2 linked regions of the Kluyveromyces lactis genome follow. The protein of the gene in region 1 purifies or fractionates together with the protein of each later gene. This does not show direct contact. Links are inferred from orthologs where the notes say so. Each region holds a gene or a part of one and is shown on either strand. Other genes may lie near its edges. The genes, in order: COA1 and COX1.

Region 1 (2,590 bases):
TGAATCCAGAAACTCTAGTGCTGCAGGATCGACAGGAAATACACCAGCTGAAGATTTTGATCGCAATGGACCCAAGAATAAAGTAACCCCAAGCACCGTGTCCTCAATATCAATTATGGAAGAAGATGGTAATGATTTCTGGGAGAATCTACGCTCACTGGGAGGTAACATTGGCAGTGATGGAAAAAGCTCAGAACGGAAGTCTCCTAGTATTTCACACATAAATGATCTCTTTCAAAATACAGAAAATGCTGCTGATACACCAACTGGCTACGATGCCATCTTTAAATTTTGCGAGCAGAAGCAAATGGACGACAAGCAATCAACCGAAGAAGTTGTAGCTGAATTCGCCATCAATCCAAGCTGAAACCAGCAATGTATCATTACACCGAACTTTAATTTTCAAAACCACTTAAATATATAATGAATATACTAACTATAAATATATGTTAAGGACTTACAATCACATCTGTTTCATTCATAGCTAACCCGTTATAGCGAAAAGATCACACAAAAAAAACAAATTAAGTTATTAAAGGGGAACTTCGTCTTTTGTATCTCATTTCCTCTGGAAATATGATGAAGATCCTAGAGTTGCCACTGTATAATCATATACTGACTCTCCCAAGTTCAAATATTTCGTGGAATATTCCCTAACGGTAATATCGCTAATGTGATCAATCTTAGGGGTCAATCCAGTATTTCTCTTAATACCTGCCAAGCAGGTAGAAATTAAAACAGCATCAATAGCCAAATGTACAGTTTTACCGATCTTAAATTAGTCTTGCTCATCCAATTCACACTCTTTCCTTCTTCCTCTTCGGAAGGAATGAGCGCATTTCATAGCATAGATGTTAGTATCTTTTAGACATATAATCGTAGCAATACGATTGACAACCCAAACTAGGCTTCATAGCATAACATACAAAGGTCATTTTAGGGAATAAACGTGGTTTATTTGAAGACACCTCGTCTTTGTATATTCTTTTGGCCACAGATGATTTCCTGTTTGCTGATTTGACTCAAGTTTCATACCTTTTTCTCGATTCATTGTTTGATTTCTACTATGAAATGATATTATAAGAAGATCCGAGTATTTGAAAAATTTAGTCGAAGAAGCTGGCCAGTACAACATACGATGATTAGGAAACAGGGAAGGGACATTGCTACACAATCCGCCAACACCAGCACAGGCTAGAAACTCCATATTAACAATGTTTAGACGCATCCTTGCACCAAGATCCGGAATTTCTGTGAGCAGAATACTTACAAGGAGGTTTTTGGCCTCTCAAGAACCAGAGATTATATTAAAAGACAAGTTTAGACCAATGAGAATCGATAGAGAGCTACCAGACCCAACTAAAGATGTCAACAAGAGAAGACTCCAGTTTGTTGGGTTCATTGTTCTAATGACCTCAGCATTGGCTATGATTTTTAACTATGAGAAGACACAGTCTCCGGTTATTTCCAATACCCTATACCATATGCGTCGTTCGCCTAAGATTAGAGAAGTTCTTGGTGATCAGATAGATTTCGATGGGCTCGTTCCATGGGTCTCTGGGGAGCTTAATCAAGTTGCTGGTAATGTCAATATCAAGTTTTACTTGAAGGGTTCCAAGGGTAAGGTCGGTGAAGTTCGATTAGTTGCAGACAGAGAGAACCAACACCAAGAATTTTTCATCCACGAATGGAGTGTCAAGGTTGATGACAAGAAATACGATCTATTAGAGGAAAGCGGTGGTGCTAAAACTTTATAAAAGTGTATTTTTCAACTGAGAATTCATTATTTATGTATCATTTTATCATAATGCATTAGCCCTTATTCTCCCTTGTAAGCTAACTGTGTACTTTTCCTTTCGTTATATCTTGTAAATATTAAATACACAGATTAAAATAGTAATAATAATAATAACAATGATGATAGTAATAGCAGCTCCAATATGGTATGAGTCTACCGGTTGGCAAACAATGGTTAATGAGATTTTTTTTTTTCGAGTATGTGAATTTCTCTCAGCCAGGAGATGAATGGATTTCCTCCATGGAGTGACAGATAGTACCATTTTACGGTTGCCTTATGTTTGTCTTTTTGGTCTCAAAGAATCGATAAATTCCCTTTTATTCTCCGAGTAGTTCGTGAACTCATTTTCGTACTGATCTTCTTCAGCAATGTGATGATCATCTCTGATATCGTAATTATTCTGTAGCCTATATTGTTCAGATGAATCGTTTTCCGCTGGTAAGGTCAACACTTTAGAACCTTTCGGCGTGTCGAATACATTCTCTATTATAGGTTTTGAATTCGTACTTGGAGAAGACATGTGTGTATGCAGCGATGTTAACGAATGTCTCGACGAAATGATAGAGTTATCAGCGTTATTAATATTATGATTGTTGATGGCATTATTATTATTCATACCGGAAATTTGTACTGACGAACCTCGCCTTGGATATGCACCCAAATCGAGTGTTCCGATCGTTTTTAGTAGAGTTTCATTCGATGAATTTCTCCTGGGCACAGATCCCTCGTCAAAAATGGATCCTGATCCATTTCCACCAACTGCAGCATCGGGCAGCATCGGTATCATCTTAT
Region 2 (4,634 bases), on another chromosome or scaffold:
ATTTATGTGATGAAGTTATTTCTCCAGCAATGACTATTAAAGCTATTGGTTTACAATGATATTGAAAATATGAATACTCAGATTTCATTAATGATAATGGTGAAACAGTAGAATTTGAATCATATGTTATTCCTGAAGATTTATTAGAAGATGGTCAATTAAGATTATTAGATACTGATACTTCAGTAGTAGTACCTGTTGATACACATATTAGATTTGTTGTTACAGCAGCTGATGTTATTCATGATTTTGCTGTACCTAGTTTAGGTATTAAAATTGATGCAGCTCCTGGTAGATTAAATCAAGTATCAGCTTTAATTCAAAGAGAAGGTGTATTCTATGGACAATGTTCAGAAATTTGTGGACAATCACATTCAGCTATGCCTATTAAAATTGAAGCAGTTTCATTACCAGCATTCTTAGAATGATTAAATGAACAATAATTATATAATTTATAATTAATAAATTATATATAATAATATTCTTTCCCTGCAAACCCTACAATATTATTAGGGGTTTCCCCACGGTCACCTTCCCGACCCACAAGGAGACGGGGATTCTTACTTATTTTATATCCCGCGGATTCATGTTATGAATCCGCGGAATTATTATATTATATTATATTATATTATATTATATTTTTAAATATAATAATAATTATATATAAATAAGAGTATAAAAATAATTTATTGATCTCATGCTATACTCCCCCCCCTTCCTGTCGCACACGATTGGTGCGCAGATATTGAAGGGGGGGAGTAGGGAGTAATAAATTTAGGATAACCATTATTATAATAATTAATTATTATAATAATATTTTTCCCCCGCGGTCTCTCACCCTACGAATGTAGGGTGATGAGCCGCGGGGTAATTCTTATTTATTATATATTATAATATTAATAATAAACCCCCGCGGACTCCTTTAAAGGAGTCCGCGGGAAAAGTATTATCCGCGCCTCATCCATTATAAAGGATGAGGCGCGGATTAATATACATATATATATTTTAATATAATTATATATTATATTTATTTATAATATTATTATTTATTATATAAAATAATACTAATGAGGGGGGCTTATTTCCCACCATATGGTGGGAAATAAGCCCTACCTAATATATTTATTTATTTTTTATTATTAATATAATTAGAATAATATTTTTCTTTAAGAGGCTTATTATATATTAATAGAATAATTATTCCGACTATTCACATAATATCTATTAAATTAATTAATATAACCCCCGCGGTTCCTCCCCACCCCTTTAAGGGGGGGGTGAAACCGCGGGGAAATGTATATTTTTACCGATCTGCATAGTAAATTGGTAAATTTATATATTTTTATATATATAAATTATATATAAGTAAGATAAAACTTATTTATCCCCCGCGCTCCCTTCCCATCCCATAAAGGGATGGGAAGGAGCGCGGGGGTCAAGAATTTATCTATAATTATATAATTATAATAATAATTATATATAACTAATTAATTAATTAATAATAAAAAACATAATGTATATTACATACTAATCCCGCGGCTCCCCCCCCCCTTCAGGGGGGGAGCCGCGGGTAAATATAACTAATAATAATAGTTTATTATATTATATATTTTAAATATAATATAATAATTATAAAAATAAATTAATGATCGAAAGATGATTATATTCTACAAATGCTAAAGATATTGCTGTTTTATACTTTATCTTTGCTATTTTCTGTGGTATGGCAGGTACTGCCATGTCTTTAATCATTAGATTAGAGTTAGCCGCACCAGGTAATCAAGTTTTAAGCGGAAATCATCAATTATTTAATGTCTTAGTAGTTGGGCATGCGGTCTTAATAATTTTCTTCTTAGTAATGCCGGCATTAATTGGTGGTTTTGGTAACTATATGTTACCTTTATTAATTGGAGCATCAGATATGTCTTTTGCAAGATTAAATAATATTTCATTCTGATGTTTACCACCTGCTTTAGTATGTTTAGTAACTTCTACATTAGTAGAATCTGGTGCAGGTACTGGATGAACTGTATATCCTCCATTATCATCAATTCAAGCACATTCAGGACCTAGTGTTGATTTAGCAATTTTTGCTTTACATTTAACATCTATTTCATCATTATTAGGTGCTATTAATTTCATTGTAACAACATTAAATATGAGAACAAATGGTATGACAATGCATAGATTACCATTATTTGTATGATCTATTTTCATTACAGCATTCTTATTATTATTATCATTACCTGTATTATCAGCAGGTGTTACAATGTTATTATTAGATAGAAACTTCAATACTTCATTCTTCGAAGTAGCAGGTGGTGGTGACCCTGTTTTATACCAACATTTGTTTTCTATGCCATTTTATATAGTAATTTATGATTATAAATATAATATTAATTTATGATTATCTTCATTTAAAAATTTAGAATTTAATCAAGATAAATTTTATTTTGATGAATTTAATTTAAAATATAAAGAATTTAAACCTATAAATTCTGTTCCTGATCAAAAATTTTTAGAATGATTTGTAGGATTTTTTGAAGGTAAAGGTTCATTTATTTTAATAAAAAGAAGTGATATTTCTGTTGTTGTAACTTCTAAAGATATAAAAATTTTAAATTATATTAAAAATAATTTTAATATAGGAGATGTAATTTTACAATCTAAAAAAGATATAACATATAGATGAGTAGTACATAAAAGAAGAGATATTTATTTATTATCATTAATTTTTAATGGTAATTTAGTATTACCTACTAGATATGGTAAATTTATAATTTTTTTAGCTAAATTAAATGAAAAATTATTAAAAAATAATGAACCTATAATTATTTTAAAAAATTATTGTAAATTACCTACTTTAAATGATTATTGATTATCTGGATTTACTGATGCTGAAGGTTGTTTTGATATTTCTTTAAAAGATAATAAAAATACACCTAGATTTTTATATGCATTAAGTCAAAAACATATTGTTAATAAATATGTATTAGAACATATTTTAAATTTATTTATTGATAAATCTAATACTAATTCATTATATAACATTAATAGTGAAAAAAATATTGGTAAAGTTTATTCTAATTCTAAAGATGATAATTGACAATTATGAATTTCAGGATTAAATAATTGTATTTTTATTTTAAATTATTTTAAAGAATATCCTTTATTATCTGATAAATCTAATAGTTTAGATAAATTTATTCATGTAATAAATTATTATAAACAAAATAAACCTTTAAATGAAGAACAAAAATTATATATTAAAAAAATATCTAAACCCTGCGCGACATCACCCGACCCTCATAAAGGGTTGGGTGAGTCGCGCAGGGAATTAATTAATAAATAATCATATTTTATTAGTATAAATAAAAAATATTGAAACAAAGGAAATAGTTTAACTTAAGTTAATTAGAAAAGATATAACAATGTTGATATGAAAAATAAAAAGATTATATCTCTCTTAATATATATATATAAATTAAGAGACTAAATATTTATTATTCTCTTATTCGGACACCATCCAAGGGATTTACCTTTTTTAATACCCCCCCCATATCTTCTTCCCAGCTAAGCTGATAAGAAGATATGGGGAGAAGAGATAAATATACTATTTTCTAGTATTATATATATATTATATAATGCAACATTGGTGGTACGGTCAACAATTTCTCAGATTTAGACCGTCGGTTATAATATATATAATTATATATTCTGATCGCTACAGACTGCTTCACCAATGGGTGATATAATAATATTGCTTAATGTACAGTCGGAATCACTTATTAATAATAAGGTCATATATTATATATGAGATATATATTATAGAGTCTACCCGTGCTATTATCAAAAATAATATTTGGGGAAAAGATAATATATTATTTAGATTTGGATTCTTTGGTCACCCCGAAGTTTATATTTTAATTATTCCTGGATTCGGTATTATTTCACATATCGTATCAACTTATTCTAAAAAACCAGTATTCGGTGAAGTATCAATGGTATATGCTATGGCTTCAATTGGATTATTAGGTTTCTTAGTATGATCACATCATATGTATATTGTAGGATTAGATGCAGATACTAGAGCTTATTTCACATCGGCTACAATGATTATTGCAATTCCTACAGGTATTAAAATTTTCTCATGATTAATAAACTCCTTTAGCAAGAGTATTAAGTTGATCAAAAAATATATAAAATATATATATATTAATAATAATCATAATAATAATAATAATAATAATAATCCCCGCGGTCAGTCACCGGTTATCGGTAACATGACCGCGGGGATAAATAAGATTTATAATAATAATTCTTATAATTCTTATAATAATAATAATAATTATTATAATAAAAAATTAACAATTTATGGTACTAATTTATATTCAAATTTAATAAATAAAGAATATAATAATACTATAATAATTAAATATATAATTAAAATTCCAAATAATATTATATATATAATTAATGGAATTTTATTAACAGATGGTTGAATTGAATATAGTTCAAAAAATACATTAATTAATAGTAGATTAAAATTTAAACAAACTTTAAAACAAGTAGAATATGTTTTATATGTATATAATAAATTAAATCATTATTGTGTAAGTCCTCCAAAATTAATT

What was found.
Region 2: the proteins of COA1 (region 1) and COX1 purify together in Saccharomyces cerevisiae (affinity purification with western blotting, with the first as the bait; 4 studies listed by BioGRID). This does not show direct contact. The link is inferred for Kluyveromyces lactis from reciprocal best matches to the Saccharomyces cerevisiae genes COA1 and COX1.

The regions. Positions count from the first base shown.
Region 1 is NC_006042.1:1,009,256-1,011,845, reverse strand, and holds COA1 (Coa1p), read left to right. Parts: upstream 1-1,214; coding exon 1,215-1,757; downstream 1,758-2,590. Other genes in the region: KLLA0_F10978g (uncharacterized protein), read left to right, coding at 1-367; ATG44 (mitofissin), read right to left, coding at 560-772, 927-935; AIM20 (Aim20p), read right to left, coding at 2,073-2,590. UniProt on the Saccharomyces cerevisiae protein: Required for efficient assembly of cytochrome c oxidase in the mitochondrial inner membrane. Involved in a step coupling MSS51-dependent cotranslational insertion of COX1 to the addition of its heme A and copper B cofactors.
Region 2 is NC_006077.1:30,745-35,378, reverse strand, and holds the start of COX1 (cytochrome c oxidase subunit 1), read left to right. Parts: upstream 1-1,645; coding exon 1,646-2,354; intron 2,355-3,894; coding exon 3,895-4,156; exon of another isoform or gene 4,157-4,157; intron 4,158-4,634. Other genes in the region: COX2 (cytochrome c oxidase subunit 2), read left to right, coding at 1-443. UniProt on the Saccharomyces cerevisiae protein: Component of the cytochrome c oxidase, the last enzyme in the mitochondrial electron transport chain which drives oxidative phosphorylation.